Linked DNA regions of Nothobranchius furzeri. The main gene of each other region encodes a partner of the protein of the gene in region 3 in a complex. Links are inferred from orthologs where the notes say so. Each region holds a gene or a part of one and is shown on either strand. Other genes may lie near its edges. The genes, in order: pole4, pole2, pole3, baz1a and chrac1.

What was found.
Region 1: pole3 (region 3) and pole4 share a complex: the UniProt entries of both Homo sapiens proteins name them as parts of the DNA polymerase epsilon complex. The link is inferred for Nothobranchius furzeri from reciprocal best matches to the Homo sapiens genes POLE3 and POLE4.
Region 2: pole3 (region 3) and pole2 share a complex: the UniProt entries of both Homo sapiens proteins name them as parts of the DNA polymerase epsilon complex. The link is inferred for Nothobranchius furzeri from reciprocal best matches to the Homo sapiens genes POLE3 and POLE2.
Region 4: pole3 (region 3) and baz1a share a complex: the UniProt entries of both Homo sapiens proteins name them as parts of the CHRAC ISWI chromatin remodeling complex. The link is inferred for Nothobranchius furzeri from reciprocal best matches to the Homo sapiens genes POLE3 and BAZ1A.
Region 5: pole3 (region 3) and chrac1 share a complex: the UniProt entries of both Homo sapiens proteins name them as parts of the CHRAC ISWI chromatin remodeling complex. The link is inferred for Nothobranchius furzeri from reciprocal best matches to the Homo sapiens genes POLE3 and CHRAC1.

What each region holds. Positions count from the first base shown.
Region 1 is NC_091748.1:55,969,691-55,973,784, reverse strand, and holds pole4 (DNA polymerase epsilon subunit 4), read left to right. Parts: upstream 1-1,382; 5' UTR 1,383-1,504; coding exon 1,505-1,741; intron 1,742-1,934; coding exon 1,935-2,019; intron 2,020-2,778; coding exon 2,779-2,820; intron 2,821-2,961; coding exon 2,962-2,975; 3' UTR 2,976-3,193; downstream 3,194-4,094. Other genes in the region: serine/threonine-protein kinase NIM1, read right to left, coding at 8-29. UniProt on the Homo sapiens protein: Accessory component of the DNA polymerase epsilon complex. Participates in DNA repair and in chromosomal DNA replication.
Region 2 is NC_091758.1:27,026,392-27,029,473, reverse strand, and holds the end of pole2 (DNA polymerase epsilon subunit 2), read right to left. Parts: intron 2,955-3,082; coding exon 2,782-2,954; intron 2,703-2,781; coding exon 2,613-2,702; intron 2,372-2,612; coding exon 2,317-2,371; intron 2,237-2,316; coding exon 2,177-2,236; intron 2,105-2,176; coding exon 2,027-2,104; intron 1,534-2,026; coding exon 1,425-1,533; intron 1,298-1,424; coding exon 1,121-1,297; intron 1,019-1,120; coding exon 951-1,018; intron 856-950; coding exon 837-855; 3' UTR 726-836; downstream 1-725. UniProt on the Homo sapiens protein: Accessory component of the DNA polymerase epsilon complex. Participates in DNA repair and in chromosomal DNA replication.
Region 3 is NC_091749.1:66,564,207-66,568,855, forward strand, and holds pole3 (DNA polymerase epsilon subunit 3), read right to left. Parts: upstream 3,152-4,649; 5' UTR 2,964-3,151; coding exon 2,898-2,963; intron 2,078-2,897; coding exon 1,992-2,077; intron 1,861-1,991; coding exon 1,742-1,860; intron 1,426-1,741; coding exon 1,256-1,425; 3' UTR 943-1,255; downstream 1-942. UniProt on the Homo sapiens protein: Accessory component of the DNA polymerase epsilon complex. Participates in DNA repair and in chromosomal DNA replication.
Region 4 is NC_091758.1:18,191,335-18,195,366, reverse strand, and holds part of baz1a (bromodomain adjacent to zinc finger domain protein 1A), read right to left. Parts: coding exon 3,994-4,032; intron 3,913-3,993; coding exon 3,747-3,912; intron 2,414-3,746; coding exon 2,318-2,413; intron 2,185-2,317; coding exon 2,117-2,184; intron 895-2,116; coding exon 797-894; intron 560-796; coding exon 306-559; intron 215-305; coding exon 1-214. UniProt on the Homo sapiens protein: Regulatory subunit of the ATP-dependent ACF-1 and ACF-5 ISWI chromatin remodeling complexes, which form ordered nucleosome arrays on chromatin and slide edge- and center-positioned histone octamers away from their original location on the DNA template to facilitate access to DNA during DNA-templated processes such as DNA replication, transcription, and repair.
Region 5 is NC_091759.1:18,090,268-18,095,050, reverse strand, and holds the start of chrac1 (chromatin accessibility complex protein 1), read right to left. Parts: upstream 3,216-4,783; 5' UTR 3,110-3,215; coding exon 2,957-3,109; intron 2,830-2,956; coding exon 2,703-2,829; intron 2,291-2,702; coding exon 2,205-2,290; 3' UTR 2,185-2,204; exon of another isoform or gene 2,066-2,184; intron 1,890-2,065; exon of another isoform or gene 1,799-1,889; intron 1,581-1,798; exon of another isoform or gene 1,489-1,580; coding exon of another isoform or gene 1,347-1,488; intron 1-1,346. Other genes in the region: uncharacterized protein si:ch211-57n23.1, read left to right, coding at 1,347-1,488; gatad1 (GATA zinc finger domain-containing protein 1), read left to right, coding at 4,620-4,783. UniProt on the Homo sapiens protein: Forms a complex with DNA polymerase epsilon subunit POLE3 and binds naked DNA, which is then incorporated into chromatin, aided by the nucleosome remodeling activity of ISWI/SNF2H and ACF1.

The DNA.
Region 1 (4,094 bases), on a different chromosome or scaffold from region 3:
GTTTTACCTGGGAGCTGTGGGTCCTTCATGTCTGTTCCCGGAGGCTTTGACGCCGGACTGTGTCCTTACGTGTGAAGAGATCCTCAGAGGGCTAAAGCACTCCTCCCAATCCTATTAATACTGTGTATTAGTGGCCTGATCATCATGTCCTCTGGCACAAACTGACCTCATAAAAATGCTGAAAACATACTTTTGAAGACTAAAGCACCTATGTACCTAAGCATATAGCACATAATGTTGGTTATTTGTTGGTGATTATATTAAAACAGCTGTTCTTAGAATAAACTTCATCTGCATACGAGTTTTAAACAAACGGTGAATATGATGTTCGTTAATTAGGTAATACTGTATAACTTCAGGAAAATCTTAATTTTTGTGATTGTTTGTCCTAAGAAATATATTTTTACAGATAGTTAGACCTATATGGAAACTATTGCCCTACAGATGTCAAGGAAGTAAAAGGTCAAAATGGCATTTATAAAAATATATATATATATATTTGGACTATCAGAGGGGTGTTGTGTGTAGTCAGTATTTAAACAGAGTTTAAGGCAGCTAATTTAGGAAATGTAGTCAGTTTCCCCCCCAGCAATCTAAATCCAGCAGCATGACTAAAGTGATGAGTTACTCAAATTTACCCTAACTGTAACATGTTTTATCTGAGAGTATAAGGATGGATCCTGGTCCAGAATAACACCAAGGATCCTGTCACTAGTACTGGAGGCCAAGTGAATGTCTTCAAGCTGTGATCTTAAAACTCTCAGGTCCAAAAAATACAGCCAATGTCTTCTCTGAACATGGAAATAGAAAAGTAAGAGTCTTTCAGGTCTTTAAGACATGTTTGTAATCTGATTACCTGGTTGGATTTTGTCCATCTCTTGACAATGATCAGCTAAGAATGATGGAGGTGGTGATGATGATGGTGTAAGCAGAGATTTAACAAAGAGACACTATTTCACTTACACATACTTTTTTCCAGAAACGTAAAATTGCTATTGTGATATAAGGCTCTTATCTGCCAACATTGTACTTTAAAAAGTAAACTGCAGGGAATTGATTTCAGTAGTTTGGTGTCTTCAGCGCCTTTTACCGCCCTCCAGTGGACCACTTGTGAGCTGACCCCAACTTATTTTTACTGTTTTTAATTTCTCATAATGTAGAAAAATAAAAATCACAACATTAAAACCTCTAATGCGTGAATTAAAACTAGAAATATCGCCACACAGCGTCACCAAATTGTACATTCACTCCAGAATCTTGCTGCTACATATTTTGACTGACGTCAATTCTAACCAATGACAAGGCATCCTTTAACAATTGTCCAATCACAGACGAGTATTTGTTGGCGGGGTCTGAGCTTTTGACCAATAAACACCATTCGCTCCACGATGTACCGGAAGCACATGCTGGCTCGAGGCGGTTGATGTTGTTGTCTGGGACGTGTAAAATGAGAGATATTCGAGTGTTTTTATAACAGCAAAACACGATTGTGAGGCCATAGGAAATGTCATCAGCAACGCCCGTTCCCTCGGCGGAGCTCGAAGCTGAGCGGTGCGGGAGTGAGGAGGAGAACCGTGCTGTGGAGGCAGAGGACCGGGGTCAGCAGCTGACAGGCCCGGCCGTCGTGCCCCATAACCGTCTGTCCAAACTCCCGCTGGCCCGCATCAAAGCTCTGATGAAGACGGATCCAGACGTGTCCTTGGCTAGCCAGGAGTCTGTGTTCATCATCGCTAAAGCTACGGTAAAACGGTTTACTCAGTAAGAAGGTCAATGTTTTCATGTCACGTCCCCCACGTTTTATCTAGAATAAACCTTTTAGTCCACAAAATAGTTAATATAAACCAATTGCCATTGTTTAATGCAAAACACACGTGTTAGTTTCAGGTAAAATACACCAAACCTACAAGTTTGACCTAATTTTCCCTTTTTTCCAGGAGTTGTTTGTTGAGATGATTGCCAAAGATGCTATGGTGTATGCTCAGCAAGGAAAGAGGAAAACTTTACAAAGAAAAGACTTGGGTAAGAGCTGAAACATTTCAAAGTGACTTCAGAAATTGATTCCTTTTATTTTGATACATTTTTTAAAGTCATTTTTAAGAGTATTTCGAAATTAAGAATACTTCTAGCAACATAATTTTATAGAAACAAATATTGCTACATCAAGAGGAGCCAGTTAAGGTGGCTCGGGCATCTGGTTAGGATGCCTCCCTGGACACCTCCCTGGTGAGGTTTTCTAGGCATGTTCAACTGGGAGGAGACCTAAAGGAAGGCCCAGGACACGCTGGATGTTTTTGGGCTGGCCAGGGAACGCCTTGGGATTACCCTGGAGGAGCTAGCCCAAGTGGCTGGGTAGAGGGAAGTCTGGGCCTCTGTTTAGGCTGCTGCCCCAGCGACCCGACCCCGGATAAGCGGACGAAGTTGGATGCTACGTATTTGTGTATCTCCATGAAAAGTGGAAGTGCTAGAGAATATAATGACTTTAAAAGTCATGTTGTTCAAAACAAAATGGTGATTATATATAAAGAAGGAAGCTTTAGTTAGGTTGATAGAAATCACTAAGTGCCTCCTGATTTTTATTTCGAGAGGCACTATATAAAAGCTTGTTTCTTCTTCATTACTCAGTAGCTAAAAAGCAGTATTTATGTTAATAATAATGTTATAATTTCATCTGGTGGAGAAAACACTTTAAACAGGCATGAAGTGATTCAGTTTTAACAATATTAATAATAATAATAAATGAAAATATTAATTGCACACTCTTCTACTTTTCCTCCACAGACAATGCAATAGAGGCCATAGATGAGTTTGCATTTCTTGAAGGTAAATCATAAAAAAAGACATGAAACAATCCTGCAAAGTTTTGCAAATTATTCCATGTCATCTTTTGACTCTGGTATTTTAACTTCACCCACATGCAGATGTGTTTGTGTGTCTTATCATGTTGACCTCTTTCCTCTACAGGAACACTGGATTAAAGATTTTTTATAAGACCACATTAAAAAGATCCTCAACTGTCTAAAATGTGTTTCATTGTTGAATCACAGAACATTTTTTCTAAGTCAACCTCACAGATTGATTAAATGTTTTTATATGACAAGCTCTAACTTTGAATTTGTCTGATATTGTGTAAATGGTTTTGTAAATATGTGAGTAATGTTACTGGAAAATGGAATAAACTTTTGTTTTAACAACACATTTTCATCTTGTGTGGAAACTGCAGAAATATACAATTCCCAGTAATGGAGTTTTTAACAGAATTGTACAATTATAACATAATTAATTGAAGGTTGACTTTTTTGTTTTAAAAACACTTTTCTTTTATTGGTTGGATAAAATATGCAAATTTTTTTAGATAGGGATTTTGGGTTTTCATGAGCCGTATGCCAAAATCATCAATATTAGAAACAATGAAAGGCTTGAACTACTTCAGTTGTGTGTAATGAATCTAATATATATGAAAGTCTGTTAATCTGTACATTACAGAAAATAATGAACTTCATCACAATATGCTTATTTTTTAGAAGGACCTGTATCTGCTGTATTTGGGATCATTGTCCCATTTCAGGACCCAGTTTTTCCAGGTGTGGCAAAACAATTTAGATTTCAAATGTCACAACAAACTTGGCAGAGATGACAAAGCTGCTAATAACAACTACTCTTATTAGCTTATCTTAATTTACACAAGTTTATCATATAAATGGATGTAGTTTTGGGGGGTGGGGGGACACGACCCCACCCCATTTTTTTCCAAACAAAATTTTGGTACCCTGCAATTTTTACCGTCCAAAAACAATGTTACACCATATTAAATAGACACTGGTTGAGCACTAGGACCAAGCGGAAAACAACTGCTTCTGTTGAAGCCTGTTTCCCATTAGAACCATCCATAAGCTCATCTATTGGCTGTGCTGGTACTTGCTAACGTGTGATTGGCTGTTCCTGCCACCTGACAGTTCTGCATTCCTGCCATTGCATAAAAGAGCCTCTAGGCTGTAGTTTTATACATGTTTTTTGTATACTTACTGTGAGAGCCATTTTAACTGAAGGTGTAGTTATTGGTTTTGACACTAGATGGAGGCAAACCCACTGATCTT
Region 2 (3,082 bases), on a different chromosome or scaffold from region 3:
CTCTGTAAATATTGGTAGCGCTGAACTAACCTGGTTACACTGGGAAAATGTAATCTCTTTAAAACTTTTACCTTTATTTACATCAACTGTTTATTCCAAAATTTTTGTCACTCCTTACCTCATATTTAAAAAAAAAATGTCTTTGAGGATGCTCAATAGTTATATTTTACAGAAAACACCCTAAAGATGAATGGAAATCAGCATTGAAAATAAGATGATTTGATTTACTAATGTTATTATATTTTTTTTTTACCTCCACTATATAAAACATCTGGGTCATCTTAATCAAAGAGTGGTAATCCATACTTTCTACTGAGGGTATTTTTGGTATATAACTTCAGAGTAAACATTTAAAACACTAAATTACAATTCATGTCTATGACCATATTAGTTAAATAGATATATAGAAATGAAAATTCAGTGTGTCGATTTGAGAAATAGTGATACCAGAAATTACCTTCAATGGAAAAACAAAGAGTCTTTAACATTGCATTAGGAATAATATACAAGTTCATCATTAAACATAAAAATTCACTAGTTGATTATTTGCACGAAGCTTTTTAAAATAGTTAAATTATTTACCTATTTTGCAAACATTTAATGAAAAAATATGAAGAAAATTTCTTATATAAATATTTTTTATGTAAATTTCAAAAACAATTGTTTATTTTCATTAAATGAGCTTCCTCAGAGAGCTCTCTATAAACATTAAAGTACAGGAAAACTCAGCAAAGAATAAAACCTTTATTTTAAATAAAAACTGTTACAAACATGTTTGATTTACTAAGATACAACACAAATATCACACAAGGTAAAAACAAAGCCCATCATTTTCTCTAAAGGTCTTGAAGTTTGCTGTGAAAAGAAAAAAATACAACTTTAACTTATGAACACGAATATTGGTTAGGACCAGTATTAAATATGCAACGATATGTCAGATTTCATCCCACCTGTCCTCCACGGTCCGGCTAGATGGATAGTACACTTTAAACGTGAAGCCACTTTTTGAAAAAGAACCCTGAGGACAAAAAATATAAACAGAAACAAATAAAATACCTTAGTGACTAAAAGTAAACACATTAACAAAAATCATGTTATTTGAGTTTCCTGCTTCTTGTACCGGGTTGAAACAGAGGCAGTCAGCGCTGGTGATGCTGAAGGGGTCGTACTTGTCTGCAAAAATTATGGCATCAGGCACCGGATAGACCCGCAGGGAGAAGTCGTAGGCCCAGAACACGGGACTGACGTACAGAGGCAGTGGGGATAAATGGCCCTGGGATAGGATGGTCTTTACGAACTAAACAGAAGAAAACAATTAAATTAAAAAGTTTTGGATTTCTATTTTTAACTCCCATCTTCTCAGAAGCATCTGATCTTTTTGGGATAATGCATGAACACGCTTTGGGGGAGAAAATGAGCCTCACGTGGTTTGGGATGTCGAGATTTTTGTTTGGCAAACGGACACAATTCCTGCACATCTTGTTGACCAGATCTTCTCTGATGATGACGATCTCTTGGCTGCAGTACTGAACTCTAAACAGGTCAGTTTAAAAAAAACAATTTAGCAACGAAAACCCTTAAAGAGCAAGTCACCCCCTACCAGTCTCACTCCACTCCCACTTCATGTTTGAAAAATGCAACATATGAGGTTGCTTGGCAGACCAAGAGGGCGGAGCAACCAACAAACACACACATACTCAGGCTCACAATGACATTGTGACATCATAATGTACCAGCTAATGTCATAGTCTTAGCCAATAGCGATGGCAGATTTAAATTTAAACGCAGTTCAGTGCAGAGTTATTAACCTAAAGACGACAGGCAGAAAATTTAAAATTTAACTAAGATGCACTAAAGTCCCAAATTATCGATTACACGTGTCTACGGCACGATTAGACACTCGTTTATATGGTTTATCAGCAAAAAAAAAAAAAAAAGTAGATTTGTGGGTGACTTGCTCTTTAAATAGGTGCAGTTTTTTTTTAATTTACTTTTCCCATTTGAAACAGTTACGTGTTCGTTTTACCTGCAGGGATTGGTCGTGAACACAGAAAAGGGGACTCTCTGTCTGAACTCTTCTGTGATGTGGTCTGCCAAGGGAGGCCTGTGGGAAAAATTCAGATTAATCCAAAGAACGAAGGAAATTTTAACAAATGAGACGTGTTTGAGAACGTACCGCGGTAGGATTGTGCCTGGACCCGGGTCTTTGGGACCGGGAACAAACACAAAGCGACTACTGCAGGTTTAGAAGGAACACTTTAGTTCAAACACACTGAAGATAAAAAATAAAAAATAAGAAAAGTGGGCCAATCCTACCTGCTGTGAATGCTGGGATATGCACTTATAACATCAGCAAGGGTCTTCAGTGAATCTGAGAAAAGACAATGTTGTTTTTATGCACTAGGATTGGGCTGATTTCAGATTTATTTTCTTTGAGCTGTCCACACTTAGTGCTCCAGTTCAGCTGCATGATTAACCTGTTAAGCGAAAGCGGGAAGATATTTGCCGACAGTGTCAAAAAGCTGTGTGTGTTGACTTTAAAGCTCAATAAAATGACTCTGAGTCCGTCTTTAGGAGGTGTAGGTGAACGGTTTCTGACCCAACGGCCTCACCTTTGAGCGCTTTAATCTGCGTTTTCCCAAAAGGAGCGGAGGAGAAGTTCCCACACAGAATGAAACAAGTGGGAGGCATGGCGGCATATCCTGTCAAAAAACAAACACATTCAAAACAAGAGACTGAGTTTTCTCACTCCTCCACCTGCAGGGGCCTGTAGCGCCGCACCTGAGAACATGGTGTTGAGCTTTTCCATCACTTCGATGCTGTCCAGGCAGACGTCGGAGACGATCACAAACATAGCATCCTCGTTCTCCTCTTCCAGCTGTTTAAGCTTGGAGGACGCTTTGACCGAGGTGGCGGATGGACCGCCAAAGAAGTTGATGTCACCGTAGTATGCCCTGGAATAAATAGTTTTTACCCATTAACAGAGAGTTTTGGTTACAGAATACAGAAAAGCAAAATACTTGCTCACAGAGGTTCAGATTTACGTTTTTAACCCATTGTTGGCACATTTTCTGCCCTAGAA
Region 3 (4,649 bases):
CTGTAGGTCAGTAGTTCTCGATCCCTGTCCTAGAGGGCCGGTGTCCAGCAGAGCTGCTGCAGATCATTCAGCCACTGAAACGAGTGATGAAGCAGAGAACCGAAAACGTCTTGGATACTGGCCCCCCAGTACTGAGAACCACTGCTGTAGGTGTTACATAATTTAAGAACCGAATCAGAACTGTCTAGGTTTAAGAAGGAACTAAAACTGGAACTATAGGTCATTGATCTGAATCCCGATAATGGACCAGTCCTCACACTGCAGTCCTGCAAGTGCGCTGTAAGGCTCTAGTATACTGGTGTGCAAATGATGGCCAAATTGAGACATCATCGATCGTAGCGCATGTCAGGATGCTGGTCACTTGCACAATTTTTTTTTTAAACCTTTAACAGGATATTATTTGAAAAACATTTAAATTGCTTTGTCTTAAAATGTTGGAGCATTAACTAATGTCCTAAAATGAACTTTTGTTGGAAAATGAGCATTTCAGATGTTCCTGCGGCGATGGATTGTGTGTAATACCTTCCACCCAAGTCTGCGTCACTGCAGGCTTGGGTGAAGTGCGGATCAAGGGTGCAAAGCGGGCGTGATCGGCTTTCCCATTGAGAATTGACGCCTCACACACCTGGGTCAGTATTGAGCTAGTGTGGCAGTGTGAGTATTGGGGTTGGGCCAATATCAGGCTGTTTGGACCATTGAGGTGGACCTGCTGTTAATTTTATCGTTTTATTTTTTTTTTGTATATTTATGTCGATGGTTTGGACATGGTGCTTAAGGTAACTCCTGGTCATGTGGTTAGATGACTTCTGTGTGCTGAAGGGTCCAAGGTCACTGATCCTTGGAGGGTTCCTGAACTGTGTTGTAGAGGAACCTTCTTCCTCAGGCCCCTGCTGTGGAGGTAACCTGCAACAGGAAGACTTCCTGTCTGATCTGAGACAAATCTGAAGGTTTCATTACAAACTTTTATTGAAGGACTTTTGTAATAAATGACTACAACAGTACAAATGGTAAAGAAAAAAACTGGGATTTCATTCTAAAACAGAACCCAGTGAAAGTCTTCACTCTGATATCAGAGGTCCAAAATCAACCACAGAAGTTTGAGGGGAACCTACGAGTCAGAATGGATGGTGACCTGGTGCAGGATCAAAAGTCTCAAACGTTAGGCCCATAAAGAAACGGGCCGACTGTTTCCTGCGAGTTTGGACGGGTGTGTGTCCGGTCTAACATCAGCTACCCAAAGATGTGGGTGGAGTCCTCAGTTCTCCACCTCCTCTTCAGGCTCCTCCTCCATGCATTGCTGCTGCTCCTCTTCATCAGCCTCGTCATCCTCTCTGCTCTTGTCATTCTCAGAATCAACCTTTTTTTCTTTATCTTTGCGTTTCTGCTCAGAAACCTCCTTCTTTCCCTTCTGGTCCTTCTTATAGACTGTGGAGAACAAAGACATTGTTAGCTGGTCCGGCTGCTGGAACACCTGGAAGCTTCAGCAGGAACTTGAACCTGATGGCTTTTCTGTGTTTACTCAGGGGTGAAAAAGTTCCTATCGACACAAAAAAAAAAAAAAAAATCTGATAAGAAAACCACATTTACAAGAATGCTGCGTTTACGGTCCGTCCAGAGTGGGAAATCCAAGGAACTGGCCTTGGAACCCCATCATGATTCGGCATTCCGACAGAGCCAGCCTCAAACTGGATCTGCTGCCTGCTGATGTCTTCTGACAGACTATTCTTAATGATGTTCTCACCTTCCAGAGCTTCCCTGAGAGGCTCCATGAACCGCTCGAACTCCATCTCCTCCATGGCAGCCAGAACGTCTCCCGCGTTCAGAGTTTTCCTTTTAGCCTTCATGGCAAAGTTGTTCGCACTGCAAGGAAAAAGGAAACTGGCTTGAGGAGCGTTGACGGGAACCATCCAGGTCTTTCTGCTGGGTCACAAATGTGTTAAAAGCTTGATCTTGTGAACAAAAATGCAGTTTTATTGGCTTTTTTTCCTCACCAGGAGGTTGCATACAACACAAACACGCTGGCTGCCTGAGAGATGGCTCTGCGAGCTTCTTTGGACACGTTCACCCCATCTGGGAGCTGTGAGAAACAAACGGTGCGGAGGAGTTATCTCAGAGCTTCACTCTGGAGTCAGAGCCAGCTCGCAACTGCTCTTTTTCACTCACAAAAAGCTAATTCACACATGAACGTGTCAAAACGTTTAAAAATGACCAAAATCGTTCAGATTCATCATCAAAACACTGAACTTTATCAGATTTATTTAGAGATGACTTATAATTAAAAGGTCTTAACTCCGGAATAAATATGAAGTACTGATAATTTTCTCATTTCAAACAAACGGAATCTGAATGTTATTTTTGATTCAGACTCATTTTGAATTTGAGCAGATTTTTTTTTCCTTTTAAATCAAAATGCAGCAATTATTAGATCAGAATCTAAAACCCCAAATCTGATTTTTATTGCTTTTTTTTTTTTTGGTCACTGACTATAAAATGGTTTTGTTTTCTAGAACATGACAAGGGCAAGTAAAATTGTATTTTGTAGACTTTTCTTGAAGCTGGTGAAATCCAGGAGGGACTGGTTAACCCTGGTTACCTTTAATTTCTCATCCTTCTTACAGATCTGTCATGTTTGAAGGGCCAGTAGCCTGAAGGCAATTATCTCCATCTCCGTGGGCTGTTATTAGAAACAGTACCCTCAACCAGAGGAGATCTGATGAACCAAAGCTCTAAGAGCCAAACCGTGAACGTCTCTGGTTTCATGTGACGTCACCAACACCCACAACAACTGTAAACTGGGACTGAATGAACACACAGCTGATCTGTGGTCTGTTTAATCCGGACAGTGGGTGGAATCAGACGGTAACCGGTGGAACCCGGACCCGGCGGGTTTCACTCACCGCCTCCTTGATGATGCGGGTGATCACCGCGTTGGGAAGATTTAGGTCTTCGGGCCTTTCCGCCATTTCTCCCGAACCACTCCGTTTCCCCCCGGTCGAGTCTCCGGTAGATGTCAGCGCGCGTAGTTAACGTGACTCGAATCCCTCGTTCTAACGTGAAAAGCTCGCGCGCCGCTGCTCAAACCGTCGTTTGTTTCGGGACGTTTCCCGCGAAGCTTTCAACCACCACAAGTCCGCCTGCGTCAACGATGAACTTTGACCTTGATGCGAATGACGTACTTCCTGTCTTGAAAACTAAAAGTACCAGCCAACATTTTCAATAACAGTCTGCAGCTAGACGTATATATGTCGATGAGCTAGACCTTGGAGGAGGAAACGTCAGCGTTTATTTATTTTTTTACTTTATTTAACAAACAATGAGTATACAACATAGAAACGAATGAAGTATACAAAACAACAGAACATGAACACACAAAGCCAGAGGTAAAAGAAAAAAGTAACAATTATAAGAATACACGCAAAAATTCACATATATATTGTTTTGAGAGCTTTTTTTGTTGGTGGATTCTGATATTGATTTTATGTACAATTCCACATGCTTAAAAATGACAGAAATTTGGTGTTTTGTTAGTAAACTTACATTTATGAATAAAGAATTTAGCTAAAAGTATTAACAGATTTATCATAAAAAAAACATTTATCATTCTTCATGGGGAACTTAAAGAAACAGAACAAAACATCTTCCCATCGTAAAGAAAACTCCCTTAAAATATGGACAGTAACAAACCTGCTAAATTCCTTCCAGAATCTTTGTGTAAAAGAACAGCACCAAAAAAGATGTGTCACAGTTTCTGGATGATCCCCACAGAAAGTACAATTAGTGTTTATGACCCTTTTAAATTTTACCATGTAATGACTGGCTGGATAACATTTATGTAGAAGTTTAAATGAGACTTCTTTCACCTTATTTACAATAAAATATTTCTGGGGGATCATCCAGACTGTCTTCCACTTGATATCTGGAACATATCGGTTCCAATAAGATATTATATACGGGAGAGAGACGATATCTTTCTGTAATAAACTACGTATTCTCTTATTGCTGTTACCAAGTTCTAGAGAAAAGCAGATTTTTCCTATTGGTGACTCAACTGGATTAGGGAGAGTGACTGAGGTAGATATTGAGCTGTCAGTGTTTTTATATAACATTAAAGCCCCTGAGGGTATGGCACCAAGCACCATTGACAATTCCTGAACACTGATTGGGAAATTATATAGGGCAATAAAGTCGATGTAAGTAAGTAGTTGTCCCTCTTTATTAACCAGCTGAGCCACCAATAGGATCCCATTCTGGACCCAAGTTTCCAGGAAAAGTGATTTATTTTTAAATAAAATATCTCTGTTGTTCCAGATAAGATATTTGTGAGGTGAGAAGTTGTGTTTATAAATGAGGGTCCACGCTAAGAGGACTTGCTTATGGAAGGGTGAAAGTTTTATAGGGAGTTTCTCAACATTGTAATTACAATTTAAAATAAAATTAAAGCCACCAAAACAAGAGAAAATATGATATGGTATAAGGTTCCAGATAGAGGTATGGTTTTTAAGAAAATGTTTAGCCCAGTTAATTTTGAAAGTGTTATTTAAAGTAGAAAAGTCTAGGACGTTAAGCCCTCCTGATTCGTACTTATTCATCACAACAGTTTTCCTAATATAATGCGTACGGTTTTTCCATATAAATTAAAGAGCATACGG
Region 4 (4,032 bases), on a different chromosome or scaffold from region 3:
GAACCTGTACTGTTTTGAGTCACAGTTCTGCAGCATTTGCTGGAGCCTGTCCCTGTCCTGCAGTAAGGCCTCCCTCAGACTGCTTTCTCTGTGGCCCCGAGGGTTCAAGGCCTCAATCAACTGATCCAGTTCATCCACTGAGCTGTAGAAGAACCACTGGTTGGGCTGTTCAACCGGGACACTTCTGCAAAGCTGAGCCGGGCTTGATCCAGTGCTGTGAGGTGATAAAAAAGAAAAAAATACATTGAGAGTGCTTTCTTGATGATTTTCTTTGACTTGATCAGTTTAGGCTGTGTGTGACCCACCTTTCACCAGAAGGTTCATTCTTAAATCCTTCCTCCTCCTCCTCCTCATCATCATCAATGATAATGACAGCATCCTTAGAGAGTTTTAGACACGGTTTCAGCATGTCCTCTGTCAGGCCGAAAAAGTCCTCTTCCACAAACAGTGCAGAGGCAGATGGCAGGATCCAGTATCTCCGGTACATTCGGTCTCGACCCAAAGGCAGCAGGCTGGTACAGGCTGCTGCTTTCTGAATGCGCTCCTGCAACTCTCGAACCTGCCAGCATCAGGAAGAGAACTAAAAATCTAATAATGACAGACTCCTGTCATGTTGCTGAAATGTCATCATATATGTCACGCCACCAGGCGCAGCTGCTGATCGCCAGCAGGAAGAAAATTACATCCTTCAGGTAATTTCAGCCGTGAACATAATACTACACCAACTTACTGCAGATCTTTGCTTTTTGTAACAAGTGAGATATGCTTAGAGATTTGTAATGGAGTTGCATCTGACCTTCTCCTGCTCCTTCTCCAGCTCCTCTGGACCCAGGCTGGGAGGAGGGCCCGACAGGTTTTTGATGTCAGAATTCATACATTTTTCTTTCTGATTACCTTCAACCCAAAAAGGAGAAACAAAAGAAGCACACATTTAAAAAATAAACATCTTTATGAATTTTCTTAGCTTGAAATTAGGGATGAACCAATACTGGTTTCAAACAGACTTCGACTCACAGTGACCCAAATACAAATACAGGCCACTTACCATTCATGACCCAAGTCACAGTTACATACAACAGAAAAAAAATCCGGTTAGTAAAAATAATTTAATGTTTGATTCAGTTATTCTGACCTGGACTTGATGTAAAACTAGAAAGTTAAACAGGACAGAATAACACCCAACAATCGGATAACTTTTTAACCATTTAAATCTTTAATCTTCACAGTGTTTAGCTACAGCTGAGTTGGGTTTGGACACCACGGTGTATCATGGTAGAGGGTGCCACCACACCACGAACACGATGCTGCCCATACCACGTGACCTTGTTAAGCGGCACATCCACAGACTGATGGAAGACTTTTCAGCCTTCAGCTTCACAACACATGTGGAGGAACAGCATCTGTGCTTGCTCAAGTGCAAGGTGGGTCGACAATGATTTTACTCTGCAAAGACTCCTTCTGCACGCTAAATGGTTTCAGGTGTTGGACAATATCCAACTGCAGGTGAGTTAAATGAACACTTCAGACGTGAGGAATCCCTTAAAGTTCCACCCACGTTGTGCTGTTAAAATGCAGAAAACATGAGAAACCTTCTGTGTCTCACACGCCCTCAAGTTGGTGGTTAATGCAGGCTTTTGGCACAGAAGAGTGTGACTGTTGCCGTCAGGCAGAAAACAGTCGAACTTTTAAACATTCTGCTTGAGCTTAAGCCAGCCTCAAAGTACGGTACATTACCTACTATCCTGCATCGATGAGTACTCAGCTCTAAGGAATTGTACTAGTTTTGGACAAATTGGTATTGGCCCATCCCTAAAAAACATTTTGCTACAAACGTCTGGTTGAACAGAGGCTGCAGCTAGACAGAGGCCTGTTTTGAGCTTAGGATCCTTCCTCAAGACAGAGGGCAGTTGAAAGGCTGCTGCGGGTACCAAGATTATCGGTAGGATGGTATAAAAATCTGATATATGATCAAAAAATCCATCATTTCCTTAATTAATTACTGAGTCTACAGGTGGAGGTGGGGATGGGACCATGCAGAGATGGACTGCGGGAGCGAATGGAATTGGGAGAATAAACGGGAGTAGGTGGGAACATGCTGGGCTCTGTACAGTTTTACCTTCCATTGTCTTTCTAAATGATGAGTTTTCTTCAGTTTTCTCAGAAGGACGTTCTGCAGGTGTTCCACTACAGAGACAACACAGTTAATTTCATCCCAACACAAGGATTTTATCTGTTTTTTTAGGACATTTAGAAGTCGTCTAAATGCAAAGTGAAGAAGAGCTCTTCCTCCTCCTCTTAGCCAAAACGCTCTTCCTACCCATTTATGTGGATCTCCTTTTCCTCCTGCTCCTTTAATTTGTCCCTCATCCGCTGCTCCTGCTCCCTCAACTTCTCCTCCTTCCGAAGACGAATCCTAAAATTGACATGAGAGCACACCTGCTGGTAATGTCGTCTGGATATTGTCGGTTTGTCGCAATGTTTGATCAGCTAATGTTAATTCGTCTTTGGTCGGGTTGAAAGAAGTGTCTTTAGTCAACAACAAACCAAATTAAGAGATTGAAACCCCTTCAGCCAAGGAAGCCCAGAATAATGTGCGTTTTATGAAAAATGCGTGGCTGACCTTGCTCTGAACTACGGAAGCCCAGGAGTGGACATGATAGCCTTCTGCTACGTGCTGGCTAAAATAATTACTGTATTGACCTGAATATAAGACGAGGTTTTTTTCATTGACAATAATTTTAAAATGTGGGGTCGTCTTATAATCGGGGTCTAACCATTACACTCCCATAACAGCAGAGGGCGCCAGACTGCATGTTCGCAGAAGAAAAAAGTGGAGACGGGATCCATAGCAGAGTGGACTGAAAGTGGGGCAAGTTAACAAGCTATAAGGCAGATTTATGCAAATTTTAAGATGACTGCAGTCAATTCAGCAGAGGCGTTAAACATTGCATGCATGGATGGCAGTGAGGATGGCATTCTGGGAGGAGTCAGCAGGTGTAGTGATCTGATGGTACACCAGGACCACAGCAGCGCGAGATTTAAGCACAGCGAGGCAGAGGGCGTCTGAATAAAAGCCTCATTTGACCTTTGATTTGTGAGCAAAGTTCTGATAGTTTGCAATAAAATAGTATTTTTGCTCAGTATTTGTTCTCAAATTTTCAATAAAAACAGTTTATTTAAAAAGGGATTTTTTTTTTGTTTTTTTCTGAAATGAGTCTTGGAAAAGGGGCTCGTTTTATAATCGAGGTAATCCTATAATCAGGTCAATACGGTATATTGTCGGTACGGTATAAGTGGAAGGACACACTTCCACCAGCTTATGGTCAGTGGATCAGGGAGGCAATGTCTCACACACACCTGATTCAATGTGGTTTGGTCATCATTTAAGTCATATTTGAATGATGTCTCTGATGAACTTTTTATAATTTTTTCTTTAACTGTATTTTCTATTCGTGGATTTAATTTTGGGCTTTGTTTCAGCGTTGCCTTGGAACTTGTTTTGTGCTTGTTTTTTTATTTTTTACTTGACTTTAAGTTTGATCAAGTGAAGTGGAGTGCGTGGGGGGTCCAATAAAATGTCTTCATTCAAGAAAAGAATAAGTCTCAGGTGGTTCTGACCCGGCCCGAAAAGCAGCAGGTGTTAACACACTGGTTTACTGAAACACCCCTCTGGTTCTAACTGGAAACACTGGTTGTCCTGGCATGGTTTTGATGGGCTGATCGGGCGGTCTGTACGTGCCGTGTACCTGTGTGCGGCCTCCTCCCGGTCTCTGCGATGTTGTTCTGCTCTGACCTCCCTCAGCTCCTGTCTTGCTGCTTTCTGTTCCTCCAGTGAGTCTTCAATCAGATCTCTGCTAGGAGCTAATGTTAACAGTTTTCCCAGCAACGCCAGGAGGATCTTCAGCTTTTCTTCTGTACACAAAAATCATCATGATAGTTTTTAAACTTCAGTCTGAAAAACCTTGATAGCAGCACACACCCCAACAGTCTAACCTGGGCTGAGGTCATACACCGGTGTGCATGACAGCTTCT
Region 5 (4,783 bases), on a different chromosome or scaffold from region 3:
AATTGAATAACAGAGATTGAGAGAGAAGGATTAAGAGAGATTGAGAGATTATGAGGGAGATTGGGATACTGAGACACAGAGAAACTGAGGGATTAAAAGTGAGATTGAGAGATTAAGAGTGATATTGAGGGGGGGGGGGGGAACTGAATAACAGAGAGATTGAGAAAGAAGGATTAAGAGAGATTGAGAGATTATGAGGGAGATTGGGATACTGAGACAAAGAGAAACTGAGGGATTAAAAGTGAGATTGAGAGATTAAGAGTGATATTGAGGGGGGGGAGAGAAACTGAATAACAGAGAGATTGAGAGAGAAGGATTAAGAAAGATTGAGAGATTATGAGGGAGATTGGGATACTGAGACACAGAGAAACTGAGGGATTAAAAGTGAGATTGAGAGATTAAGAGAGATATTGAGGGGGGGGGGGGAAACTGAATAACAGAGAGATTGAGAGAGAAGGATTAAGAAAGATTGAGAGATTATGAGGGAGATTGGGATACTGAGACAAAGGGAAACTGAGGGATTAAAAGTGAGATTGAGAGATTAAGAGAGATATTGAGGGGGGGGGAGAAACTGAATAACAGAGAGATTGAGAGAGAAGGATTAAGAAAGATTGAGAGATTATGAGGGAGATTGGGATACTGAGACAAAGGGAAACTGAGGGATTAAAAGTGAGATTGAGAGATTAAGAGTGATATTGAGGGGGGGGGAGAAACTGAATAACAGAGAGATTGAGAAAGAAGGATTAAGAGAGATTGAGAGATTATGAGGGAGATTGGGATACTGAGACAAAGGGAAACTGAGGGATTAAAAGTGAGATTGAGAGATTAAGAGTGATATTGAGGGGGGGGGGAGAGAAACTGAATAACAGAGAGATTGAGAGAGAAGGATTAAGAAAGATTGAGAGATTATGAGGGAGATTGGGATACTGAGACACAGAGAAACTGAGGGATTAAAAGTGAGATTGAGAGATTAAGAGAGATATTGAGAGAGAAAGAAAGAAAGAGTGATACTGAGAGATTAAAATAGTGAGATTGAGATTAAAATAGTGAGACTGAGAATTTAAGAGTGAGATTAAGAGATTAAGCAGGCTGCTGAAAAAGACAAATCTGCTATTTCTTGCAAATGAGCTGTTCAGATTGTTTTACATGAACAAACTGATCCAGAGTCAGCTGTGGAGGTTAGCTATGAATCCTTAACGAGGCACGTGAAATCTGGATTATTACATGATGGATCTAAAAGTAGAAAACAAGCTGAGTCATCATCTGGACATCAGAGGTCGTTAACTGAATGTGTTTGTTTGATTAAAAACAAACTTATCCATATTTACTCGTTTCGTCCTCTTTAGGCTGAACGATCATCTCGCCAACACGAGGGACGGTCTCGACAGGAGAGCGCGCACGGCGAACAGCCTGGAGAGTCACTTTTCTACTTTAGAGAAGAATCTGTTTCATTTTCAGCTTCGACTCGCGAAGCTGACCCGACGCTGACGATTCATGTTCCATTCATGCAGCAGCTAACTAAATATCAACCACAATCCCCTGCAACATGCTTGTGAAACATCATAAAAGTATAAAACATCGGATCTTGACACGAGAGGCATTTATTTTAGCATTCATCTTTATTTTATATCAAATCTAAACACACGAGTAAATTCACAACGACGATTCCCTCTGAGACATTTTAACAAAGAAAATGACGTGAAGCTGAGGTGGCATTTCACATCTGGAGAGGCACAAACGCTGCTTCGCAGTCTCTCATCTAAACACGTCGCCTCTCTACAGGTGGATGAAGTTTTTCATCCACTCGTGTTTTCTGTCACGTCTGTGTTCCAGCTGCTTGTCACGTCTGTTAGGAGGTAACGGTTCACTTCTGGTGCAAGTGGAAGCACCTAAAAGACAGCCCCGACTGTGTTCAGCCAAAATTAAAATGTTAAACTGAACTGATTGGTCTGTGCTGCCTTTTAAACCAGTGTTAAATATCTTATTTGCTTACTGCCATTATTTGGTCTAAATTCCTCAGAGCTGAGCTCTGAGGCAATTTAAGCTCCACCTTCTCCAAGACCGTGTGTTTAAAAAGCTCTAAAGTCCATAAGTGTCTCCTCTGACACACACACACACACACACACACACACACACACACACACACACACACACACACACACACACACACACACACACACACACCAGGGAAAGTGGCTTTCATGTCAAAGATCAGCTTCTTCTTCTTCTTCTTGCATCTGCTCCAAAGTCTTGAGGTAATCTCGAGCCAAGATCTTCTTCGGCAAAATATCTGTCAGATTAAAAAAACCTGTTTTTCAGTATAAATTTTATTTATTATCGGTCTTTTCTCTGAGAAATAAAGTTCAAATGGCACAAAAATTACATGTTGCTAAAATAAATGTAAGCGGCTTACAGTTCTTGTGGAAAATTCATATCGCTCTCTCTCTCATCTGTAAGTTTTTTTTTATTGGTTTGATTCTGTTTCATTCCAATCTTTCATTTTTGGCAGTAAAATACAGGAAAGCTAAAATAAATCTTCCTAAATGGTCCAAAAGCTAGCTTCCAATGGCGTTTTGCTATTTTCCTCGTGTCTGGGACTTTATTAAAACACTTATTTATAAATAAAACATTAAAATACAATAAAGGCCAGTGTATCTAATAATCTGGCTTCAGGACGCGCTGATGCTCAGCTCCAGACTCGCCTGTGAGGAAGTGGAAGGTCTCGTTCTCCTCGGTGGTTTTAGCTAGGTCGCTGTATTCCAGGGTGTTGCTGTCCTTCCCGGAGCCGTTGTTGAAGGAGGACAGGGCCAGATGCTGCACAAACAGCTCCTTTACAACAGATTAAAAACTATATTTAGCGATTTTAACTTCACACGATTTTAGTTCAACCACCAGCTAGTTATGCTAACCCCCCGCTAATAGAAACACAACCACATTAGCATCAAGGGCAGCTTACAGTAGCCTTGGTGGTGAGGAACAGCGCGTCTTGGTTGATGCTGGAGACATCCGGAGAGCTCTTCATGATCAGTCTGACCCGGGACACCGGGAGAGAGATGGACTTTTTGGCGTCCGGCGTCTGGCTGTCTTTGTTTGGGTTGTTTCGAGACATTTCTGTTTGGACAAAGGACAAGAATGACTGAACTTTAAGTTTTGTTTTGAAGAGTGACGCCTTTCTTCTTCGCCGTCTTCAATTTCTTTGGTGGTCTTTACGTTGAAACAGCGCCTCCCGCTGGAAAGCAGGAGTATAACCCAGCACAAAAGATGTTATTTCAAACAACACTGTATATTTAGATTAAATTTAATAAATAGTAATTAAATTTTACCCTGATACTATATTTGTATTTTAAAAAAGTACCTGACAATCATTCCAACCAGCTCTTGGGAAACGGTCAAAACAGAACCATGCTTGAGAGAAACAACTTTCAGCTTGTTTAAAACTATTATATTTAATATAATATAATTTAATATAATATACTTAAATATACAAATGAATAATCTCGAATAAACTCTATCATTATTTTTGCCATAGTGAGGCAAAGGAAATGGAACTCTTTTTATTTTGTTTGCATTTGTTTCTATTCTCCATGAATCACAGGTCCTAGTGTAAAAATGTGTTTGTTAGAATACAGTAAAATAAACTGCAGAATTGTTTATAAAAGTAAACAAAAGTAATTAACATTATTTTAGTTCCTCAAAGGATTATACCAATTTTCTAAAAACTTTTAAGGAAATCTGTAAAAAATATGAAATACATTAAAAAACAGGAACAACCACCACTACTACTCTGCCTCCTCCTCCTCCTCCTCCTCCTCCTCCTCCTACTACTACTACTACTACTACTACTACTACTACTACTACTACTACTACTACTACTACTTCTACTACTTCTACTAGCTACTACTAACAATAAAAATATTAATAATTTAAATAATTTAAAGTAGAAGACGTTTTATTTGTCTGTTAGTGGGGAAAGCCAGTCTTTCAATCAGCAAAAACCTGTAAAAATAAAGAGTGAAAAAGATACAATCAAAGGCATGGAAAGTAACAACTTTGTTAAACAGATAATAATCAAATAAACGGTTATCTCCCATTGTAATAATAATGATAAGAAGAAGAAGGCCGCTGCTTCAGCACTCAATAAGTTAATTCCTATATCAATCCAAACTTTTTAAACATGTGAATGAGTGATACTAGTGATCAATAGTTTATTATTTTAATCCTGAAAAAACACAAAGTTGTTGTTCATGCACTCATATCTATTTTAACAACGATAATAAGGAAATACTGACTCACATTTAGCTGCCCCAGCCCAGCGCCCGACGCAGTCCTCCACACCAGTAGGCGGCGCTTGACTTCAATAGTTTTCCGACCTCAGAACAAAGGAAACGCTGAAGAAGAACCTCCGCGCTGAAAGTAGAAACAAGTCAGTACATAAATAATGCTGCTTTAACTTCGTTGTGTTTTAAGGCTTTTTGATGTCTTTACGGTTATTTTTGTTTGATAATCGTTGGCGAAATATGCTAAAGCTACATCCGGTCGTGATCTGGTAATAAGCCAAGCAGCTGCGTTTCTGTTGTGATCGTTTTTACGTACGGAGGCATCGTTCTCTAGCCGGTAAAATGCCTCTGGGTTTGAAGCCGTGCTGCTTTGTCTGTAAGACGAACTCTTCCTCAATGTGGAAGAAAGGCACCCAGGGTGAAATACTGTGCAACAACTGCACAGGGAAGAGCAGCAGTAGCGGCGGCGGCGGGGGAGCTTCGGGACCCTCCTCCATATCAACCAT